4 linked regions of the Arabidopsis thaliana genome follow. The protein of the gene in region 3 interacts with the protein of the main gene of each other region in a pairwise test. Each region holds a gene or a part of one and is shown on either strand. Other genes may lie near its edges.

What was found.
Region 1: the proteins of CAK1AT (region 3) and CYCH;1 interact in a two-hybrid assay, tested with the Arabidopsis thaliana proteins (one large-scale study listed by BioGRID).
Region 2: the proteins of CAK1AT (region 3) and DEL1 interact in a two-hybrid assay, tested with the Arabidopsis thaliana proteins (one large-scale study listed by BioGRID).
Region 4: the proteins of CAK1AT (region 3) and DPA interact in a two-hybrid assay, tested with the Arabidopsis thaliana proteins (one large-scale study listed by BioGRID).

Annotation. Positions count from the first base shown.
Region 1 is NC_003076.8:9,769,160-9,775,840, reverse strand, and holds CYCH;1 (cyclin H;1), read right to left. Parts: upstream 4,539-6,681; 5' UTR 4,080-4,538; coding exon 4,020-4,079; intron 3,804-4,019; coding exon 3,753-3,803; intron 3,677-3,752; coding exon 3,598-3,676; intron 3,502-3,597; coding exon 3,389-3,501; intron 3,282-3,388; coding exon 3,208-3,281; intron 3,026-3,207; coding exon 2,905-3,025; intron 2,797-2,904; coding exon 2,728-2,796; intron 2,459-2,727; coding exon 2,417-2,458; intron 2,234-2,416; coding exon 2,156-2,233; intron 1,805-2,155; coding exon 1,746-1,804; intron 1,608-1,745; coding exon 1,523-1,607; coding exon of another isoform or gene 1,457-1,522; exon of another isoform or gene 1,438-1,456; coding exon 1,162-1,437; coding exon of another isoform or gene 1,157-1,161; 3' UTR 966-1,156; downstream 1-965. Other genes in the region: ALY1 (protein ALWAYS EARLY 1), read right to left, coding at 6,135-6,302, 6,417-6,681. UniProt on the Arabidopsis thaliana protein: Associates with CDK-2 and CDK-3 and activates the CDK kinases.
Region 2 is NC_003074.8:17,781,331-17,787,573, reverse strand, and holds DEL1 (DP-E2F-like 1), read right to left. Parts: upstream 4,244-6,243; 5' UTR 3,934-4,243; coding exon 3,800-3,933; intron 3,723-3,799; coding exon 3,655-3,722; intron 3,566-3,654; coding exon 3,513-3,565; intron 3,429-3,512; coding exon 3,351-3,428; intron 3,241-3,350; coding exon 3,187-3,240; intron 3,096-3,186; coding exon 2,984-3,095; intron 2,822-2,983; coding exon 2,754-2,821; intron 2,663-2,753; coding exon 2,587-2,662; intron 2,480-2,586; coding exon 2,418-2,479; intron 2,321-2,417; coding exon 1,915-2,320; coding exon of another isoform or gene 1,886-1,914; exon of another isoform or gene 1,852-1,885; intron 1,829-1,851; coding exon 1,728-1,828; 3' UTR 1,414-1,727; downstream 1-1,413. Other genes in the region: ALDH10A9 (aldehyde dehydrogenase 10A9), read left to right, coding at 129-242, 374-451, 539-690, 778-838, 938-1,044, 1,194-1,284; APC8 (anaphase-promoting complex subunit 8), read left to right, coding at 5,009-5,094, 5,558-5,870. UniProt on the Arabidopsis thaliana protein: Inhibitor of E2F-dependent activation of gene expression. Binds specifically the E2 recognition site without interacting with DP proteins and prevents transcription activation by E2F/DP heterodimers.
Region 3 is NC_003075.7:14,285,715-14,291,413, reverse strand, and holds CAK1AT (CDK-activating kinase 1AT), read right to left. Parts: upstream 3,018-5,699; 5' UTR 2,944-3,017; coding exon 2,443-2,943; intron 2,251-2,442; coding exon 1,312-2,250; 3' UTR 1,298-1,311; exon of another isoform or gene 976-1,297; 3' UTR 501-975; downstream 1-500. Other genes in the region: AT4G28990 (RNA-binding protein-like protein), read right to left, coding at 20-209. UniProt on the Arabidopsis thaliana protein: CDK-activating kinase that modulates CDKD-2 and CDKD-3 activities by phosphorylation of the T-loop. Activates CDKD-2 C-terminal domain (CTD) kinase activity. Activates CDKA-1 probably by phosphorylation.
Region 4 is NC_003076.8:541,517-547,086, forward strand, and holds DPA (Transcription factor DP), read right to left. Parts: upstream 3,440-5,570; 5' UTR 3,199-3,439; exon of another isoform or gene 2,914-3,198; 5' UTR 2,908-2,913; coding exon 2,789-2,907; intron 2,702-2,788; coding exon 2,640-2,701; intron 2,557-2,639; coding exon 2,513-2,556; intron 2,274-2,512; coding exon 2,202-2,273; intron 2,114-2,201; coding exon 1,973-2,113; intron 1,879-1,972; coding exon 1,810-1,878; intron 1,589-1,809; coding exon 1,490-1,588; intron 1,412-1,489; coding exon 1,341-1,411; intron 1,248-1,340; coding exon 1,046-1,247; 3' UTR 802-1,045; downstream 1-801. UniProt on the Arabidopsis thaliana protein: Involved in the regulation of the G1/S transition. Increases the DNA binding and the transactivation activities of E2F proteins after heterodimerization. The complex DPA/E2FA promotes cell division and acts as a regulator of the endocycle.

The sequences.
Region 1 (6,681 bases), on a different chromosome or scaffold from region 3:
CATAAAAGCATAGGCATTTGCATAAGGTAAAATATTTTATGTATAATATTGGCAATAAGTGTATAAGCTCTAACTGTAGAATTTTGACGGTAACCTCTTGGTTTTGTAGATTTGAAAAATATAGGATTTTGGCAATAAATATTTTAGTTGTAACTAAAAATTATGATTAAGAAATATTTGAATTTTATATTTATAAATTACCTTTTTTCAAAATGAGAAAATTGTATATCATAATTACTAAAATTATTTAATAGCAATTATAAAATAAAAACACAAATTGAATTATGCACATCTAGGTAGATGGAATATATATAAATTATTTAATAACAATTTTATAATAAAAACACAAAAAGAATTCTGCACATCTAGGTAAATGGAATCTATATAAATTTATAAATTATTTGTCTAAATGTATAAAATACTTTATCTGTTATTCATATAACTACATTTTAGATTATTAGTTGAAAATAATCGTGACAAAAAGTTAGAGGAGAGAAAAAAAAAAAAAAATCTACAAAAAAAAAAAAATCTACAACACAAAATAGGATGTAGAAAATTAAAGATTTACAGTCAAAACAAAAAGATTTTTTTTGGGGCTCTAAGTTAAAGAAAAAAACTATAACATAATTGGCAACAATTTAGTCTTTAACAAATATATTATGGCTGTAAAAGACATTTAGCACAACCAATCAAGCATCTTTACAAGTTTCATTCACAATCCAAATTTTATTTTCGATGGTTTTTGGTTATTTAATACAAATTTTCATTGTTATTATTAGGATTTGATAGTTACCGCTACACTAGTCATATCCATTTGTTTCTGTGTAAGAACAGATGTGGTAGTAACTAGAAAGTATCAAAATGTCTGGAAAAACTTTTGATCATGTAAAAAGTTGATCATTATCGCAAACAAACCATTTTTGACGATTGTTATGTACACCAAAACTTAAAATAAATGGAAGTTTTGTTATAAATTCATTAACATCTTCAGAATAAACAAAACTTATGGCCAATATCATTGTTATACATAATCTGCTCAAATTTACTAGTAAGAACAACAACGGGGAAGAAACTATAAAAGACGAATTTCTCATTCAATAAGATTAAAACTAAACCAAAGTGCAAAGGAAGAATTGCTAATGGCAGTACGAGAAACTCAACCTATGGGTGGCGGTGCCCCGTTTGGTGTATCATTGGAGCTCCTATGGGACTTGTGTTTTGATCTCTTCTCCCGTTTCTTACTCCTGATGAAGATAAATAGAGAAGGGAGTCAATTGCAGAAGCAAAGCTTATGAAATATATATAGTGGTTAAAAGAATTAGTAGAAGAGAGGTTGTTAGTGTACTCGTCATGTGAAGAACTATGTCCTAGACAAGATTTTAGCTTCCGGTTGATATGCTTCATGTCCTTTTCACTTGGGCACTTGTAGTTCTTTACCTGAGATAAGAGAGAGCATCTAGTAAAACTTCCTTTTAGATATGCAAGTTTCATTGTTAAGATAATTATGGAAGTTAGTAAATACCAAATATTCGATGTTATCAAGTAACTTTGTAAGCTCTGAAGTCGTGTGCTCAGAGTTCGGTTGAGAAACAATGTTCTCTAGGTACCTGCACCAAATGCAGTTTAGTTGAAAATACAACCAGTAAAAAGCTTTGCATATACAGAAATTCAAGACCACGAGATTAATATCATGGAAAGATTAAAAGGGTAAATAATCGGGATGGATATAGAATAAGAGAAATAACCTATCAAAGTCAATCACTCCAAGAACCCCATTTGCAATACGTAACGACGCCAATGCCAACTACAAGGGCACACGTTCAAGAGTTGAGAGACAGTACAACAATTTGTGATACTTCTTTTGTTACATATACGCTAAAGAAAAACGAAAAATCCTGAAAGAAGGAACAAGGTGAGTATATATCGATAAGCTATACTACTATATCATAAACATTCATTAATTTCACTTAAATATCAGTCAAAGAGAAAACAAAGCACCAACTTTCATCCTAAATTTATGTCTTGAGTAGCATATTTAAAGCTTTACTGAAATATCCCAAACAATGAGTTTAACCAGATTCTTTGATGGATATTATTCAGTATCTTTAATCTGATAATAAGAGGCTAGGGAGACAAAATAAACTAGCATGCCCACCTGGCCAGGAGGAAAGAGGAGTGGAGCATCTGTGAGCATAACTTTATCGGCTTCTGCTGTCGCCCCTTTGAGCAAACTCTGCAGAATACTTGAAAAGTTATGCCAGTATGAGAAAATAATATTTCAATAAAGCCTGTTAAGTAAATAGACTTACAGCTATGATCACAAACTTACACTAAAATTTACATTTTGATCCCACATTCAGTTACCACATGCTTAAAATCTAGTGAAGATAAAGGAAATATCTGAAGATAGATCTACCTCTAGTTTTTGGATTTCATCATCTCTAGCTTGAAGAAATTCCTATAGGATGAAAAGATGAGGTTACTTTTGAAGATAGCGTGAAGTTCAACAAGGATGAAAAATAACACACCGAAAAAAGTATTGAAAATCTTGGTATATCCTATTATGGTTCACCAAGTTCTTGGCGTTAAGTTAACATTCAGAATTTTGTTTGCAACAAAACAATTGCCAATAAACTGAAAAAGAGTCTCATCACTATAAGATGTAAACAGAGAAAAGCCAGTTGAAATAAGAAAACCTACTAAGAAATTTAGACAGGACTGATTTACCTCCATGTTGTTGACAAAACCTTCGATTGCACGATACGGTGCATAAACAATCAGATCAAATTCCAAACTCTGCACATAGAGTTAATATAATATGAACAAAAGAATAGAGAGAGAAAAGAACACCAGGGAAAAATAAACATAGGGAAGTTGGTACAAATTAATTGACTCATATCATACCTGAAGAACAGCCATCTCGTACTTGAGAATTATTCGGTGATCTTGGTTAATCCCTTTCCCAATTTCCTCAGCAGATACATGATTCTCCTCTATTTTACAAGCTGCATACACACAGGTTAACCTGTTCAATGAAAGGTAACAATTAGTCCAAATTACAACAATGGACCATTTATGACTGACTTAAAAAGCCTCTCAGAGCTCAGAAATACAAAATGCTTAGCTCCATTTGGTAAACAATTTCAAAACTATTCTCTTGAAAAAAGCAAAGCTTTTGACCATTTTGAGGATTTAAAAGAACTATACATTATCTCTTTTGGATGATGTTGCATAACAGACCATTGCAGATAAAATCTCTTAAAGTATTGGAGGGCTGTTGCCTGCAAAATATTAGAAGGAAGAAACATAAATTCAGAGAGCAAACAAAAATCAGGTATTTTATTTTTAACTTCATCATAAACTTCTATCTCGACGAGTAGAAATGCACCTGAATCTTGTGAGGAAATGCAAAGGCACTGCACACTTCTTGGACCTTTGCCTCATAAAATGCTCTCATGAACCTTTCTTCATCAGCACTCAAAGGCTTAAGCTTCTTATCAGCTGAGAGTAACAAAGCAAAAAGTAACATTATTTAAACTTCGACAAACAAAACTATGATACGTATGAAGTAGATATTGAAGGAACCAAAATTTTTACCTTGATCTCCTGAACCAACTTTATCTTTAGGATATGTTAGTGATCCACTAGCATCTACTTCAACTTGAGTTGTTCCACACTATGAATAACAATAAGTTAAAATCTAAACATGAATACAGGACTAAAGCTCCATATCAACAATTATTCTAACAAACCTTCTCCAGCATTTGCACTGCCCTCTGGTTAGCAGCTTTATATCTCTCTGCCTACAATTACAACATTACAGCTTAGTTGCAATACCAATATCTCTACACAACAAGTAAGATAATAACAACAACAACACACATAACTAAGTAACAAAGAGTTCCAAATGCTCGATTAATCCGACTCTCTATGAAGCAATCAAAGCAAAGAAAATCCAAAGATGAACAAAATATAATTATAAAGCCGCATTGTAGTGATCAGAAGGAGAAGGGGATTACCAGTTTCTGGGGAGTGAAAATCCACTTGGCCCGTTGTGTTGATGTCTGAAAATCCGCCATTAACTGAGTTTTCAAAATTTTCGAAATCGAAAAATCTGAGCTTTCGAATTTCTTTGTGGAAAGTTCAGATTTTTGATCGAATTCACACGCTGTTGATGGCGATTATCCGTCTGAATCGGAAGGAGATTCTATAGATATTTCAATTTTGAATTTTAGGGCTTATATTAGAATTTAGGAGAAAAAATTATCTGGTGCTCGATTTGAATGGAGATTGGAATTGGATTGAGTTAGCTACGAGAAGAAGATGTTTTTGGTAATGAGAAGACGAGAATGAGGGAAGAGAGGAGAGCAGACGCAATATCTTGTCGGAATTCAGATGTGAAGACGAGTATGAAGGGAAAAAGAGGAGAGTACGGCAGAGCAATACAGTGTTAATGTCGGAAGTTGCTCATACGGCGAGATCGTTCCTGGCTTTGAGACTTGCGAGGAAGAAGAAACGTTGGTGAAACGACGTTCTTTCATGTTAAACAATAAACCCTAAGGTCAAACGATGTCGTTTAGCAAACATATTTATTATAAACGGTGTCGTTCGCTAACCCATTAAAACCCTTATTAACAGCCCTTTACTAACAAAAAAAAGAACAAGAATTTTCCAACCAAAAATAAGGTCATGGCTTAAATTTATGTTTCCAACCCTTAATAACACCCATACATGTGTCCAATTTATAGAATCTAAGTAAAAGTATAATATAGTGTTAATCAATCATTTTTTGAGTTTGACTCACGATTTTAGTTAGGTCTGGACATTCGGATTTTCGGGTCTGTTTAGATTGGGTTTTTGGGTTACTTTGGTAAAGAGATTGAAAATACATTTAGGAACTGAAAATATCGGTTGAGGTCTATTCGGGTTCGGGCTGGTTCTCAAATTTAATTGAAACCTGATATTGAACCTGAATTTACCGACAAATTATGTATACGTATTATTTCGAGTTACATGTATCCGTTTGAGTTTCGATATTTCAGGTATCTGTTCAGGTTTCAGATCCTACACGAACCAAACCAAAACCCCAAAATAAACACTTTAGATCCACTCGAACCAAAGCGAACTAGGTTTTTCGGGCTTCGGATTTTATGGTCATGCCTAGTTTTGTCCTTTGAAACATTAAAATTAGAAGTAAATCTACATATACATTTTTGCAGCCATTTTAGCAAATAAATTTTGTACTTGTATTTACAATGTCATGCCATTGACATTAAATATTTCCTGTCGATAATTAAATACAAGATATTATATTCAACAATAGTTGCCAAAGATCTTTCAAGATATATAATTGGTATTAATTATTCAGATTTGAAAATTTAAATACTTTATATTGCGCTCAACAAACGTTTCCAAAAATCTTTCCAACTTAAGTAAAAAATAATTATTATTTTTAAATATTATAGATATATTTTAACTTTATAAAACATTATTATTATTTAAACTTATAAAAAAATATCATGAGATGAGAAATATAGCGGGACGGGTTTGGATTGATATGAAATATAGTGGGACGAGTTTGGATTGATATAGCACATGTTAAATATTTATTTTATTATTTTATCATCACCATTTGTTTTAGTTATAACATTAATATAAAATTATAAAACTTAAATACTAAATTAAAAACCGTAAAATTTAATATTATTATATATGAATAAAACATTTGTCCGTGGTACACCACAGGTTAAATCCTAGTTGTTATTAAAGGTATTTCAAACATATCCATTTGGCATTGTTCTAGAATTTTAGTTAAGGAATAGTATATATTTGAGATTTTGTATTAAGGTGGGAATAAATTATTTCAGCCATTAGGATCCAAAATGACCCAAGAAAATAATCACTGAGAAAGAAAGAAAAAAAAAACAGCTCCAAAGTAAAAGGTAACCAAAGTTACAATGAATGATGACAAAAAAAAGTTACAGAATCAATGGTAACTAATTATCAACAGCCTTTGGAGCTGTTCAAATTATTAACTAACTATAAACTAAACTAACCTCTACAATCCAAACAATTAAATCTGATCTCCAAGTGTTATCTTCGATGTCAGGTTAATTACAAAGGACACAAATGTTTCATGACGTTCTTACAAGAGCCATTATTTGAGTCTTGATCAATCCCATACAAGTTTGAATTTCTCTGTATATCGGCATATTCTGTGGACACCGTGGCTGCAAGTCATTCACTACTGTATCCATTAGCTGAGCCACATCTGCTGGTGGGTACTGCTTCTTTGAGATCATCTGCAGGTAAATAACACACAAAGAGTTCTAATCAAAACCGCATCAAGTGAAAACTTTGGTATTCTTGATTTAGATTACACTTTCGTTAGTCCAAGACAAAATTATTTCCTTTACCTGCATCATGAGCCAAGATGCAACACAAGAGGTGATAAGCTCTGAAGGCATTGGTGTTTTGTTTTTTCCTGATCCTTCCTGTGAGATGAAACCGTTACTCATCGGCTCTGCTGTGTTTAAGGAATGATGATCCAAGCTGCCATTGGTATACTCTTGATGCTTGATACCAGGCACTATAGAGTTGTCTAATGGCTGATGTTCGCCAATGGAGCTTAAAGCTTGGTGAACCATATTCTCTGAGTCTTCATTGTTCTTCCCCGACGAT
Region 2 (6,243 bases), on a different chromosome or scaffold from region 3:
ATTCGGATAGATTGATAAGTATCAGTTGTCGTAGGACCTTGGGAACCCTTGATAAAAGTAGGATAGCGAAGCTTTACTATACTTCTTGTGTACTGTTGTTTTCATGAAAGAATCTGGTGAAATGTCAGGAAAGGATTGCTGACGAGTTTTTGGACAAGCTGGTAAAGTGGACCAAGAACATTAAGATTTCAGATCCTTTTGAAGAAGGCTGTAGGCTTGGTCCTGTTGTCAGTAAAGGACAGGTTAAATTGCTAAACAGAATTGACATTCTCAAGAATAAACACCTCAATCCTCCAAAACCCTCTTATCTATCAATTTGGGTTAATGACGAAAGATTTCTAGTCAAGTCTTACATATTTATCCTCCTGTGCAGTACGAGAGAGTTCTAAAGTTTGTCTCAAACGCTAGGAATGAAGGTGCAACTGTTCTTTGTGGAGGAGTTCGTCCTGAGGTACATTATATTGACTAATCTTCTATGTATGTGCCAAATACTATCTAGAGCCCGTAGCACTTACAATATTTTATTTATGTTCTGCAGCATTTAAAGAAGGGATACTTTGTTGAACCTGCGATTGTTTCAAATGTGACTACTTCAATGGAAATCTGGAGAGAGGAAGTCTTTGGTCCTGCTCTGTGTGTGAAAACATTCTCCACCGAGGATGAGGCAATTCAGCTTGCAAATGACTCTCAGTGAGTGTAGATTTCTCTTCTTATCTTGAAGTAGAACTCCACTGATGACGTGTTAGATCATATGCCTGACTTTATTTGTATTTGCAGATATGGATTAGCAGGCGCAGTATTATCAAATGATCTGGAGCGGTGTGATCGTGTTAGTAAGGTGTGTATCTAACTTTTACTATCAACAATAACAATCAATAACCTCATGATTGAACTTAATCTCTAAAGTTTTATGAATCGTAATCATTGTGTGTTTCAGGCTTTCCAGGCGGGAATAGTGTGGGTCAACTGCTCTCAGCCATGCTTCTGCCAAGCTCCATGGGGTGGAACCAAACGCAGTGGATTTGGCCGTGAATTGGGAGAATGGTTAGTCTCTTTCGTTAGCTATAAGTATTAAGATTATCAAACCATTAGAAAAAGACACTCTCCAACTAGATGGAATTGTGTCCATAGTAACTTAAACCGTAATAGATTACCAACAAAATTTGAATTGAAACATATTTTCTTCGTCGCAGGGGACTTGAGAACTACTTGAGTGTGAAGCAGGTGACTCAGTATATCTCTGATGAACCATGGGGATGGTACAAACCTCCTTCCAAGCTCTGAGACAAACACTAGTTCCTGATATTTCCTTAAAACATGTACTCATGAGAATATACCAATAAAGCAAGAGACCCTTCTGTAAGAGAAATGGTATTGCTACTTTAAATTCTTGAAAAAAATGAAAAATAAGATGAGATGATATTTCTTTTTGTTTTTCTCAAAACAACATGCCATACAAAAGTAGCAAAAAACTGGCGAAAGATGAATGCTCTTATATGTAACATACAAAAGTTACAGCCTACAGTAAACTTCAGAAAGCAAAGAGGGTATGCGATCTGTGAATTAATGTCGGATTCTTGCAGTTACAATTGTGTGGAGAAACTAAACCACATTGATCAAAAGAAATGACTCTTGAAGCTCTCTACACGAATGATGATTGATGTTCACAGGTAAGAGAAGAAGAAGAAGAAGAAGAAGAAGAAGAAGAAGAAGAAGAAAAAGAAGATCTAACGGTGTTGTGATGTATTAGGTAATGGATTCTCCTGGGTGACTTCGCTGAACCATGTCTTCCAAGCATCCATGTAATGGGAAAAGAGGTCTTTCAAAACTGAAATTTGTTCAGAAACAGAGTTAATTTCATAGCAATATTTTGACAAGTTTGATATCAAATGGATGTGAATAAAATATATGCACCTTGGTTTTGGTAAGAGGGACGGTAATCAGAATCCAGATTCTCAACATCAAAAGCTCTCCTAGAGTTATCCTCTAAACCAGCAGTTGGATATGTACCAGTGCCTGGTGCAAAAGGTCCAAAATGGTAACCTCCTCTTGATCCATGTCTTGATTCATGAACATCAAAGCTTTTGTTATAAGAACTCTCTGGTGTTGAGTGCTTTTTCATCTTTAGCCTTCTCTCTGTAGCGTTTTCTTGGGACGAAGATGATGATTTGCTTCTCTTAACATTGACGTTTGTAATATCAGTTCCGAAAGCTCTTTTTCTTGACTCCAATTGCAACAAATCGCTGCTCAGTGTGAAAGTAGGCTCACCATTGTACCCTAACCACTTGAAAGCTGGTTTCCTAGAATCTAAGGTGTGAGTCTGCCACCAGAGAATACAGAAACTAGTAAGACTTAAATCACAGCTTGAAATCATAGATGGTTCACAACTGTTGTAGCTATTGATAACTTTGACTTACCTTCTCTATGAGATTCATTGACGACAAGACATTTGCTATATCATAAAGCCGCCTCACTTTAGCTGCATAAAAGTAATCAATGTGTCAACAAACACAGATCGATTTGTCTCAACCGAGGATGTTAACATAAAAGAAAAGACTTTTCAGGTCACAAGACGAAGATAATTACTTCGCATTATTGATGTATTGTGGGCATCACCAAGCAGTAATTTTGCAGCGTCATCAAGGGAGATGATCCTAATAGCCTAAACAGTTGAACACATAAAAAACAAATCTTTAGTAACTTAGTGAATAACTCTTTAGTTCAAAAAACGAATCTTTGAACTTCTCACTTACTTCAGAGCAAATAAAGAGTTTGATAAAGTTCTGAGTAAGCAATCCTAAAGATTTCTCTCGTCGGTTATCTGTCATACATAACCAACCAACAAAATGTTAGGATATCTACATTGCATCTCATAATTCATATCCCACATATAGAGTTACCAAGAGGGTAAATCACTTAACTACTTTGCAATGGCACTAAACCCGAACACAATAAGTACTACACGCACAAAATGAAACAGTACCTATTTTGGAGGGATCTGAAGATTGGGGAAGAGAACCAGGTTTTGAACTATCAGTCTGGCTACTAGAGTGAGGCTGAGAAGACTCTTCATCATCATCCTCATCATCAGATCCCTGAAAGTATGAAACTTTAAGCATTAGAAGTATGAAGACAACAAACTAAAGACACAAGTATATCAAAAGAAACCAAATCCAAATGACTTACTTTAACATTCTCATTGACATAGAAACGATGAAAAGTGTCCTTAACCCCCTCTTCCTACATCAAGAACACTTCCTATGAGAATATGCAAATCAAATCGCTACATTTCTTCACAATTGGGATTGAATGGGATTGAATCCGAATACAAAACAAATGAAAAGACTCACTTGTAGCTCCTTCAATGCTCCTGGAATTGCGGAAAACCCTTTCCACGTATACTGATTCTTTGCTCTTCTTGTTAAAACCTAAATTAGACAAAACTCGAATTAAGCAAACATAACACTTCTGGATTCTGAAAAAAAACAAAGTAGTGGAGAAACAAGTCTCACCCCAACACTCTCCAGAACATTAACAATATCATAGATTCTTCGTCTCTCCACTCCTGAAATAAACCCCAAAAACCCCAATCAACAAATTAAGATGTAAAATCAGAAATGAAAATAAAAATCACAAACACAAAGTGGGCAATACCTAATTTCGAGGCAGCATCATCAAGCCCAACCATTTCAATCCCTTCTCGATTATACAAAGCTAAGAAACTGAGTTTACGAAGAACACTAATCAGAACAAATTCAACAACAAATAAATAAAATGGGTTTAGTAAAAAGGCACTAACTTGGTACAAAGAAGTCCGAGAGATTTCTGTTTGCGACTATAGGAATGGTGTAATTGTAAAGCCGAAGAAGATTCCGGTATGGAAGAAGGAGAAGTAACGGCAAGTTTGAATCTTTCTGGCGATAGATCTGACATGGTTGACGCAAACGATGTCTGCGATTGAGAATTTGATATTGTATTTTGGAGGGATTTCCTAAAAAGAGAGAGGGGGAATTTCCCAAGATACTTGAGCGCCAATTTGAATTTTTTGGCTCCTCCTTCTCCGTAACATTTACACACTCCTCTAAATTTTGGTAAAGCTGAAACCTTTACGGTTTTGTGCTCGGTTCAGATCGCAATTTTTTGGTTTTTGTCTTTTTGTTTTTTCGGTTTAGAAAATTTCTTACAATATTTTCAGGATTCTGTTCAACTTTTTCATTTTTCTTTTCCAAAATTAGATTACATTAACCAAAATAATACATTTTCAATCAATATTATAGTAACAAGATCTATTTTGGATATCTATCTTTTTACTTGAACTCAAAAAGTAAAGTTGTAAGGGGATTTTGGTTTTGTAGGATTTAAAAGTGATTTGGTCTGAATTTGTTTTTGGTTTGGTATGGTTTGTTTGGTTTTGGAAAGATTAAATCTTTTGATTTGTAATCTTGTAAAGAGTAATGCCCTTAAAATGGTAGATTCATGATAGTGTTTAACTACTTGCATAAGCAAAATCAGGGTCTATCTTTGACTAAATTATAGTCTTACCATTAAAAATTTCTATTGACCAAAACAAAAGGTTATTTTGTCCAACTAAGATTTTTTTTTCTATAATAGTTTTGCATACCTTTGGTCTTACTCATTTGAGCTAAACCAATTAATTTAAAGTTGTTGACAAAACAAAAAAAAAAAAATTGCATTCTTATTTTATTTTTACACTTTTTCAATAATTCATTGATACCTAACAGAAATTAATACAAAGTGACAAAATTGATATGATATTAAAATTAGTTGTGTAAAGAGTTTTTGTGTGTGTGTGTATGTTAGTTTCATGGGCCTATTTTGAAACCCAAAAGTTAATCAATGGGCCCAATACACACGATCTCTCTGTAAATTTCAAAATAATTAAGATGGAGGGAGCAAATGTTTCTGAAATCTCTCTCCACGACGAAGAAGAGATTCTTCGATTCTTTTTTGAATACTTAAAGTTAAACTCTCAGTTTCTGCTTCTGCTATGGTCTCTAAAGAGTGTTGCCGAAACGAAATACGTGCGGCTATTCGACAGCTTAGCGACCGCTGTTTATACTCCGCCGCAAAGTGGTTCGTTTTCTCAAAACCCTAATCTTATTCAACCTCTCCCATTGTTGCAATCTCTAGCTCGCTACTGCTCTGGTTCGATTAAAAATCGATTTTTTCACTATCCTTTATGGGTTTTACTAATTTTTTTGTATCCTGGGCTAATTGTAAACAAATTTGGTTAAGCAGATTCGTTGATTCGAATTCACTTTTGTTGCGAATTTGGTGTTGGATACATTCCAATTCAGATGATTCGACATGTGGGTTTTGTGTTATGATATGTTTGAGCTCGACACTAATTGAAAAAATGTGTTCTTTCGATGGGAACTTCTGATCTCCGGTTCAATCTTTCGATATGTTTGAGCTCGACACTAATTTGTGAATTATGAGTTAAAGTTTCAGTTTTTAGTACTCGTATTGTAGTTCAATGGTGGTGAACTATTAGTCAGTTCCATATTTGATATCTCCTTTGCTTTCATCATTGCAGGGCAGGAGAGCAGCTTGTGGGGATAGAGCAAGACCCGTCTAATTTTACACCTGCGAATACGAGGTTTCAGCGAGGAAGCTCTAGCATCCGGAGAAGGTTCAGCACCAATGAATCTATTTCAACACCGTTACCTTCCGTTGGCTTCTCTCAAGCAGCTACTCCTCTCCCGGAAGAAGATGAAGCGATTGATGGTGACATTTACCTTTTAGCAAAGTCCTATTTTGATTGTCGAGAGTATAGACGGGCCTCCCATATGCTTCGTGACCAAGTGAGCAAGAAATCACTGTTCTTGCGTTACTATGCGCTTTATCTGGTATGTTCTGTTTCTCTATCTCCTATTTTCTATTTAGCTAGAGCTTTTATATCTTATCAGAATAGGGTGATGGAATGAACTTTTTAAAAGTTGGCTCCAAAATGCTTTTGAGTGTTCTTTTAGCCTCGGCCAGTAGGCTGCCTTCAAATAAATGCAATATATGGACGTTATTACAAACTTATAGGACTGAGCCTCTGATTCACAATTTTGTTGATGTCCAGTCACAGTTATGTTCTATGATACAAGAGATATGAGGGTATGCAACTGATATACAAAAGTAAATAAATGAGTGAAACTTAATTGGAATTGTTCGTCCTGTTTAAAGACTATTCTGTAAACGTTTATGGCAATTACTTACTGAGAGCTTGTTTTT
Region 3 (5,699 bases):
GTTTAGAAGAGATACGAACCACCATTGTCACCCTTATACCGATCCGAGCGATTAAACGAAGGCCGGTCACGAGAGACTTCTCCGGGCTCATAGTCTCCGGCGGCGTTGCGGCCGTCTTCTCTGTCGTTGCTTCCGGAGGGACGTACGACGAGACTGCTGATGTGAGGCGGGTGATGTTGCGTCGTCTGCTCTTTTTCTGTCGACCCCATTTCTCTCCGATTGTCAAAACTCACTCCTGGAATTTCTCGATGTCCGTTTCAGAGAAAAAAAACCCTAGGGGAGACTTGGCGATAGATACTGGTAACTGTTATTAATTTATCTTTTGGTCTATCAACTTTTGTCTAATTTTCAATATTGCCCCTTAAGTTTTATATTTAGTATGTTGGACTAGTATGACTGATTCATGGAGTCAAATGTATTGTGGTTCTGGTTTTCTTCTTTTTATAGTAAACAACAGTTCACATTTCTGGAAGAATCAGATTCAGTTATGATTTTTGTGTGTGCTATTTTTGTTGTTTATGATATCAGTTTTGATTATGTAATTTGGGTAACTGAAAATAATTTATCTTAGCAAAAACTGGATGACATATAGGATAGGCTTTTATTCCATGGTCTCATTATTGAAGGGTTGCTACTACACATGTTGATAACTTGATATGAAAAGTTCAAAATTGATCAAAATATAGAAACAATTAAGAAATACAGATCCTAGAAAGCAAAACTCGAGTATATATAGATTTTGTTTCATTGTTACTTCAGATGAAAAATAGGGTAAAGAATGGCCTGGGCAACAAGAAAACTAGCTCTTCAGCTAATAGCTAAAGGCTAACACCGACTTTCCAATTGTAAATGTTACCATTTTCATACGAGGGAGGCAGAGAGAGAGGAACAACACACACACACACACAACACATTTTTGACAAAGTAGGCGAATTCAGGGGAAGTCGGGATGATCAAGATGCTCAACCATGGACTCTGCCAAGGAGAGATAAACACATAAAACTGAGATCGATGAGAGAAACAAAGCGCAAAAAAAAGTTGTGAGATCAATGAGCAAACGAATTTCAAAAGTTTTTGCCGCCATTGATACCTAAACAATGTCCTAACGAAAAGTTAACAATTTTCTAAGCGGTATTCTGTAACAAGATCTTCAAACAACAAAGAGTGTTGCATCAATCAAGACCTAAAGAAACACATGTCAGGTTTTGGTATATACCCATTCTCTTTGAAGAAGAAAGAGAGAGAGAGAAGAGACTGATTTATGTGTTTAAGCGAGCCAGAGCTTTTGACTGCGTACCTTAAATGCCAAGGTCAGGGGAATTCTATTGTAAATCCACTACTGGTAGGCTTTACATTCATGGGTCCAAAGCCATCAAAATCTGAATCTGAATCCATTTCTCTGTAATCATTCCACTTTCTCGGAGAATCCTCATCTGGTCCACTCATTGTCGGAGGCACATAGAGCTCTGAAACTGGAACTGGAAGAGGCTCTTCACTTAAATATTTGTCATTCAGCATCTCCATAGTAGTAGCTCTACTAGCTGGATCATAACAGATAAGCTTCTTGAGCAGCGATATCACATCCCCTGAATGGTTGGGAAGGCATCCTTCAATACCAAGAGGAGATTCTACTTTAGCAAATGAGATTGACTTGTAGTCTGGAAGATCAACACAACCAGGCCAGACCTCTTCATTTAAATTTCCCAGCACATTGGTCACTCTGCTGATCTGATCAATATCTGAAATTCCTGGGAACAAAGGCTCAAGAGACAAGAGTTCTGCAAACACACAACCAAGCGACCATAGATCGACCTCTAACCCATACATCGTAGATCCATAGAGCAGTTCTGGTGGCCTAAACCATCGGGTTCCCACACAAGATGTCATCAAACCCTGTGTATCATCCACTGCTTCGTCAGCATCGTAAGAAAACGAGTTCCTACCGAGATCATCATCCATTTCACTAACAGTGCACGTTGCAAGGCAAGATATGTCTCCATCATGCACATTCGAGTCCTTATCAGTATCATCTCTAACAACCTGTTTAGCCTTGAGCTCTTCCACCTGTCGGAAGTACTCGTCTTTACTCATCGCTTCCCGTTCCTGACCATCAGACCCTTGCCTAGGTGAGTTCTCATAATCAGGAATAACTTCTGGTGGTTCGCTGGTTTCTCCATCTTTGTCTTCCAGTTTGTAAGCTTGTTGGTTTTCATCTGAAGCTACAATATCATGCTCCATGAGTATCCTAGCCTGTATATGAACCAAGAAGCCAACACACATTTAGAAACTCATAGATTACACTAAATGATAAGGTCTAGCCACTTGATTACACTAACTCTTCCAAATTTCAAGCAAACCAAGCATTTTTCATTCAGAGGTTTCTCATATTTGTGCATCAAACAATGAAATAACTAACACAATCAGTAACAATCATAATCTCACCTGACCAAAATCAGCAAGCTTAAGAACTCCATCATCAGAAATCAACATATTCCCAGGCTTCAAATCTCTATGTACAATCAAATTCCGATGACAAGCATCAACACCGGTTAAAATCTGAATCATCCATCTCTTAATCTCCCCAACCGAGAATCCATCCCCTCCTTCTACCTTCTTCTTCCTCTTACCATCTCGGATCACCGCAGCGAGATCCGACCTAAGAAACTCAAGCACAAGCACAGCGTTCTCTTCCTCACGCCAGAAGTATTCGTGCATAACAACTACATTAGGAGATCCATTGAGGATGGTGAGCGCGTCAATCTCCCGGAACGCAGATTGGTAATCGAAAATCTCCTTGAGCGCGACGATTAGACCGTCGGAGAGACGGCGAGCTCTGTAAACGTCGGCGTAAGCTCCGGATCCGACTCGCTCGAAGATCTCGTACTTGGCGATTATCTCCGGCCGGGTATGGATACTCCAACTGGTCGCCGGTTGTTTATCCATCTCCTTTAAAACGGCGTCGCTTTTCTTCGGATCTTTCCTGATGATGGATGATTATTCACATAAACGCTAACGAATTCACCAGTTTAAAAATCCAGTTCCCATGTTGTAATGACTAAAATGCCCTCACAAGTTTTGGAGCGGACAAGAAACCAAACCGCAGGGGGGGACTTTTATCACTTATGCCACTTTTTTGAAAAAACTGATCTGGACTGCCATAAGTTAATCTGAATGCCACCGAAAATGTGATATACCAGTTGTACCCTTAATGAGTTGATTAAAAAAATGAAAAAGAAATTCAAAAGCTAAATAAAGAAAATCGAGTTCGGAGATTCTCCTCTTCGTCGTCGTGTTCTTCTTCTTTGGTCGACGTTCATCTTCTTCGTCGGCCACCATCGATTTCCTCATGCCGCCGACTTGAAATCCGGCGTAAAAGCCACGAATTAGGTCAGTTTCTTCTCATATTTCCTTTGACATTGGTGCATTGTGATTTTAGATTGGGATTTTGAATTCTATATAATTCCCAGCTCGATTCAATTTGATAGTTTGATGATTGGTTTGCAAAGTAAAGAGTAATCGATTAGAGGTTGCCGAAACGTTATTTGAGGTGATGAGCAAAGGAATGTAGGTTGAATGTGAGTTGAATTTGAATTCCGAGATTTCATATTAAAGATTTGGGGGGTTTGTGTTTGCAAAGTTTAGATTAACCAATTAGTTTAACGAATAGGTATGTATTAACATTGGAAATCAATTGAAAGGTAACGAATTAGGTTCAGTAGAGACGAGTGCGACGAGAGATTGATTTCAACGTATGATAAGAGTACATGTGGTATAACTATTAAAATGTTTGATTGGAGTTGAACTGGTTGTATTTTCAGGAGCGATGAAGAAGAAGATCCACACTAAGGTACATTTTGACTTTGGAGGATACTATTCTGAAGTGAATGAGTGGATTGGTAAAAATTCACTATATGTTATATCGTTTAAGACGAGTAGTTTGGAGAAGATTAGCTATTCGATGTTAGTTGACAAGATCATGAAGAAGGTTGCGATTGATGAAGCTTCTGTCAAGTTGAAACTGAGTTACAATCTGTCTAAAGTTAGGAGAGAGACATATATTGTAAATGATGAGGATGTCTTCATATTTTTAACAGAATCTGATGAAGAGAGTCGGATTCCTGTTTTGCATGTGGAGGAATTAAATGGTATAGGAGTTGAGAGGAGAGAGGAAATTTCTGTACCGGAGCGTCGAAGTTCAGTTGGTGTAAATGTAATAGAGGATGATGTTTTAAATGAAGTATGTGAGATGGTGCATGATGGATATGATAATGATGTGAATGATTGTGAGAATGTAGTAGGTACGGAGATCGTGGCTATCGAAAGGCCGATGGAAAGGCCGGTGAATTCTGTTGAGGAACAAGATGAGGATGATAGGATTGATTATGATGATATTCACGATATTCCACGAAGTGTAGAAGTTACTCCGCAGGTTATAGAATGGGATGATGGTACGGGTATTGAAATTGGTCAAGAATTTTGTTCAAGGGAGGCTGTGTGGGAATTGGTTAACAGAGCTGCAAAGAAAGAAGTTTTTGGAGTCTATACTATTAAGTCAGACCCGTTGAGACTTATGCTACGATGCCGCCAAGCTTCTAAAGGGTGTACTTGGTATCTAAGAGTTGCGAGAACTAAAAAATCTCATTTTTGGAGTGTTAGAGTGCATAGAAAGATGCATACATGCTCTCGGAGTGTTGAGACTACAAGCAACAGTATACAGCGAGGCACACCAAGATTAATAGCATCGGTTTTACATTGTGATTATCCCGGAAATTTAGAGACCCCAACTCCAAAAAACATTATGTCGATTGTAAGAGGAAGACTTGGGGTGCATTGTTCATACTCCACTGCCTTAAGAGGCAAAATGCTACATGTTAGTGATGTGCGAGGGACTCCGGAAAGAAGCTACACGATGTTATTTTCTTATCTTTACATGTTAGAGAAGGTAAATCCAGGGACAGTAACTTATGTGGAGTTGGAAGGAGAGAAAAAGTTCAAGTACCTCTTCATTGCATTAGGCGCTTGCATTGAAGGTTTTAGGGCAATGCGGAAAGTGATAGTTGTGGATGCAACTCATCTTAAAACTGTGTATGGTGGGATGTTGGTTATTGCAACAGCACAAGATCCTAATCATCATCATTATCCACTTGCGTTTGGAATCATTGATAGCGAGAAGGATGTAAGTTGGATTTGGTTCTTAGAAAAGCTGAAAACTGTATATTCGGATGTTCCCGGATTGGTCTTTATTAGTGATAGGCATCAAAGCATAAAGAAGGCTGTCAAGACGGTGTACCCGAATGCGCTTCATGCAGCTTGTATATGGCATTTGTGTCAAAACATGAGAGATCGTGTGACAATTGACAAGGATGGAGCTGCTGTCAAGTTCAGGGATTGTGCTCATGCATATACTGAGAGTGAGTTCGAGAAAGAGTTTGGTCATTTTACAAGTTTATGGCCTAAAGCTGCTGACTTTCTTGTGAAAGTAGGGTTTGAGAAATGGTCGAGGTGCCATTTTAAAGGAGACAAGTATAACATTGACACTAGTAATTCTGCGGAGTCCATTAATGGTGTGTTTAAAAAAGCGAGAAAATACCACTTGTTACCAATGATTGATGTGATGATTTCTAAGTTTTCTGAATGGTTCAACGAGCATAGGCAAGCTTCAGGTTCTTGTCCAATCACAGCACAAGTTGTGCCTACTG
Region 4 (5,570 bases), on a different chromosome or scaffold from region 3:
CTCTCTTTCTGGCAATACTGCTACTTCTGTACTATGTGTGCAAATTATACATATACACAGTTTTAGAAAATAAAAGAAAAAAGCACTTAGCTTGACTGGTTGTATGGTTTAAACTTTAAAGTCAGTAAAAATCAGAAAACATTGATGTACGTCAAGATATTTAGAAACGTTTTAATTAGCATGCAAAAAATCGAAAAATAAAATAAAAGATGATAAACGTTAGGATTGGATCTAGGTGACGTTAGTACTTAGTGGTATTCAAGAGAAAACTGCAATTGTGATATATCTTAGTTGTTCTATAAGAAAATTAGGGCTGATATGATATCTACTGCTTTTGTGGACTATATCAGCTACAAATCTAATTATACAGAAGAGAAATTGGTTGTGCTTGAATTTTAGTACGTCTATATACCTCAACTTTAACTAAACAAGTAACTAATAGATTGGACTAAAATGGGCCAACACTAATTACTAAATAATATTAGATGATATTGATTTAAAATGTATTGAGAATGAGTAGATTAAGTTGATGAAAAGAATAGTATATAGTATTTATTTTGACGGCAATTGAAAAACAGTCCAACATTCTTCCGAAGTGTCCCCAACCAATTTCGCTTTTCTTTCCCTCGAACCGCCGCGATGTCTCTTTTTTTCCTTTTCCAGACAAAAAACATTATTTTTGCATGGGAATTGCAAATTTTGAACTTTCCTAGCACACGCGCCATTTAAGCGCGTAAATTGAATCTAACTAGCTTCGGTAAACCAACCTAACCGGAGACTAAATTTGTTAGACCAATCAAACAGAAGGAAAATAGCCAATAGATTCAACACGGTTAGTTTTGGTTTAAAACAATAGTTTCTGTTTCCGTTGAAATATCGCATCAAGTTCGAATAAAAAGGAAAATTGGATAAACAAACATTTGTTGGCCTATGAATTGATTTTACAGTCTCTCTCAATTGAACACTAAACCAGATGTATAATTTTTTAGTATACCAATTAGATCATTACTTCTTCTTCTTGAAGAATTTGGGAATAGAAGCTCGGTCAGCGAGTATCAATGGATCCCGAGTTCCAGCAAACCGGGCCTGAGGTTCCAGAAGCAATGCAAGAACTGGATGAAGAATGAGCGGAGCTATGTTGAGATTGGTGATGTGTAGATGAAGAAGAAGATACTCTGTTCTGTTCTTGCTTCTGTTCTTGCATCAGTTTCAAAATGTAAGCATCATCATGGACCGAGAAAGGTGTGCTGCTCACAACAAAATTTACGAAGATTTCAATTCCGATTTAAGAGATAGCAGAACTGATTTTGATTTTGAGAAGAAATGTTGTTTATTTTTACCTATTGAAGTCGAGGTGTACAAGTTGCATATCTTCAGAAATCTCGATTTCGACTACTGCGTGAGGGTTTGTCTATAGAGATGGAAATAGATTAGGATATCGAAAAACATGAAATAGAAACTACGGACGAGAAAGAGATTTTTGAAGTACCTCAAGTAGAATGAATGGTAAGGTAAATCCTTCTGCTGGGCCTTGAGTCTTCACAACCATCTCTTGATTTCTCGACATAAGACTCTCAAGACTTGAGACCTGATGATAACAACATTTGAGTAACATTATAAGCAAAACGTAGAAAGACGGTTTAACATTTCATTAAGACAACATAAAATGATTCAATACACGACGTATCTATGGATTCTAGAAAACCTGCAATATCAATAACTTTTGTCATCTATTGACATGCATAACAAGATCTCAAATTCTAAGAGAGTCTTGTATTTAAATTTTCCATCAAACAGAAAGAAGATCACCTTTTCTCTCAACTCTTTAAGAAAAGCAGCCTTCTTTTGCACACTGCTCATAACTTTATTACGATCCATCTGCAAATAGAGGTAGAGAGATTAGTAGAGAAGACGAAGAGAGAGAGCAATTACATAGATGAGATAACTGAAAGGAAAAGCTTGGAAGCTAAACCTTGACTTCTTCCACATCCTTTTTGCAGGTAATAGGAAGTCCTTTCCACCGGATTTCCTTTTTATCCCTTGCAATAATATCCAACGCCATGAACACATTGAGCGCATCGTAGACTCTCCGCCTTATGTTCTTCTCATTGTACTGATTGAACATAAGAGAATGTTGTTATAGCTTTTTTTTTTTCCAAATAACTCAAGACAGATGATATGAGCTTTCCATCTCGCTATACCTCATTTTCATTCAAAGGCTTCTCTGCGTTTTGCTTAATTGTGGCAAAATCTGAAATAATTTCGTCTGCAACCTGGAATCACAAGAGCCACAGTCTCAAACGTAGATTTTCACATTTTCTGATACAATGCCTCTATATAAGGGCAAGACTCCTGATTAGAAGAAGAATTTGAGACAATGCTCAACAACTAACTTAGAGGATTGCTTCTTGAAGTGAATACTTGTTCATATAAAGATCAATTCTAATGCGTCTTAAACTGAAAACTCATTGATTACATCACCAATTCCTTAATGGAACAAAGAGAGTAATACCTCCTTGTAAGTAGTTATCTTCTTGGCTTCCAACTTCTGACAAACTGTGTGAAGTTAAATCAAAATCAGCAAAACAACAATACTTTCACTTCAGGCATGTTTGAGCTAAGAGAGATATATCACTGACCCATAACACTGAATTGACGAAGCCCGCCTCCAGAAGTTCTTGATTGCCCTTTCTTCTCTGATCTTTTAAACACAAATTCAATACAGACATTTTAGCTCCAAGTAAAAAAACCAGAGACTTTGTGAGTAAGAAGAATAATTAACACTGACCCAATTTCAGAATCATCATCAACAATCAATTTCCTTCTCACTGGAGTTTTCTCAACGCTCACTGAAGGATGTTGCCTCTGCTTCTCTGGAGTGACAAACAACTCCATCTCCATACTCATCCTTCTCTACACAATTTACCAATTAACAAAGTTAGCTACACGAAATCAAATCAATTAGTTGTTCATGTCTCAAATCCATCGTTGACTAAAACCGATGAATCAATAGACACAATCTAAAAAACCCTAAATTGTTGACAGCTCCAATTTCAATTTTTTAACAAAAGCTAAACAAAATTTATGAAATGGGAATCATCAACCAGTTGGATTAGATCTAACGATGGTGAAGAAAACCCTAGTTCAGAGAAATAAAGGCTAAAGCTCGAATCCGTTTCAAAAGATCAAAGAACGAACCAGTGATCGATCTTCCAATGGCGGAATAAAAAAAGATGGAGATTTTTTTTCTAGGGTTTTGGTTTTACTCTTTTTATTACACAGAGATGCGAACAACAACCAAAAAAAAAAAATCGGAGATGAAATTACTTTGGGTGAGAGTTCCCGCTATAAACAAACAAACAAACTGTAACAACAAACAAACACAGAATTCTCCATAGCCCATCAAAAGCCTCAACAAAAACAAAACACACGCACTCTCTGTGTTCGAACCCAACCGCTACGGTGTCGTTTTTCAACTTTGGCGGGGGATTTAAATGGGCCTTTTGTAACTCTTTGTAATTTTAAGCCCGTTGGGCTAATTATATGTCTAAAATCGATCACGTATTAAACTCTTTGATAATCGATAACGTTACCAAATAAATAATGAAAATTTGGCTGTCTCTATTACATATGTTGACAGTTGTGTTTGTATTCGATCCAATTGTTTAAAAAATAATAATATTAAGTTCACTGAATCTTGAAAAAATGTTTGGTACGTATGCATTTAAGTTATTGAAAACATTATCGCTAGCTTATAAAGTTTATGATTTTTTCGTCTTATATATAAGACATGGTCCGTATCATCAACTTGTAACTATTAAAAAAAAAAACTCACTATTCTCATATACTTTTTATTTCTTTTCTAAGATGCTTATAGTTTTACACGTTAGTGCTTTAAGCCTGCAACGTGTGAGAAGGTTGCGTTGCACTTTCACTAGATCGAAAGAATATATGCATAGTTGCTTGATCCTTTTTCTTTTTCTTCTTTATACGATGATCGTACTCGTATAGTACTGAAAACTATATGATAAATTTCAGCATAACTGTTTGTTCAAGTTGTTAACCGATTAAAAGCTTTAAAGTTTGAAAAAGGATATGTTTATGATAATTGCAACCACTTGGTACTTGCCACTTGTTCTCCATGATTGTTTTTTTTCTCTCCATATGAAGATTAAATTAAATTATTTTGTTTGTAGTTTTAACTAGTTCGAGTTGATAAGAAAGTTTGGAGCATGGCCATGAGAACCAAAGCTGTTCCTAGTTCCTACGCTGCTTGATTGCGGAGAGTCATTCTCTTACTCATTGCTTCATCATCATTTCCAACCGTTTAGAGTTTCACTAGCCATGTTTCTCTTCTTCACCTCTTTTTTTGTTTAACCTTTATGTATACCTTCCTTCTCGTATACCTTAATCAGACCGGTATGGACTAATCAATTCCTCATGCTATTCATAGCTATGCACTATCATAAGATTTTGAAACAATATAACTTCAAATTTGATTTGTTTACTTTGATGTTTCTATGTGTTGTCAGAATATATAAATATATGTTTTGTCATTACAAAAAAAAGAAATAGTGTGATCTATTTAAATGTTTGTTTGCTGTTTGTATATCTGTCGTTGTTTTGGGAGATGAGAGGTGGCAACTCCCAATATCTTTTTGGGGTCATCTTCAATGTCTTCTCAGATCTCAATTATTGAGTTTTTAAAGTCATGTTTGATTCTTTCTTCTCTTTTTTTTGGTTCACTAATTCTACTCTTTAATTAGTCTTCTTTTTTTGTCAACTTTCGTTTATATCACATAAACAATTATATCTATTGCAGTAAATATATTATTCATAATGTTCAAGTGTCCCTTGAGGAACTGAACATACAATAAACAAAATAATGTTACCGTATCATATGGTATGCGTATTTATTCCAGTAGCTTTTTCTTTCTTAACATCTGAAATCTAGTAGAGTAATAGACTATTTATTTAATTTTGGAAATTTAATATGTTTTTTATATTTTTCCTATGTTTGCCCAAAATTGTTTTTACACAATCATTACTCGCCTTCATAAATTAAAAACTGACATGGTGAAATACATCAACAAGCTAATATGATACTCATAAAACTGACTCAAAATGCATTTTTTTTTTTTAAAGTAAAAAATATGTTGTCCTCGTAGTTATCCTCAAACTCTTTGATTCGATTGTTTTAGAATTTATAATACACTTAGATAGTCAACAAAGCTGGATTAGTTAATTAAATTCGTAGGCCGATGTATACTAAACACTGATGATGACGCATAATCCTACTTCAATGGATAAATAACTATACATAAAAAATAGTATTAATTTTGTTACACTCACTGGGGGCACAATAATGCAATTCGTCACTACAATTGATTTAAATAATATTTTAGGATTAGTAATCATATCACTCAACTAATCACCAACAATGTCTCCACATAGACCACAACTATCTAGCAAGATTATAACAACACCTATCACAAACAAGAGTTTTCGCTACATATACAATACATACAAAAAAATCATATACACATCGGTAACGAGAAATCATACATATA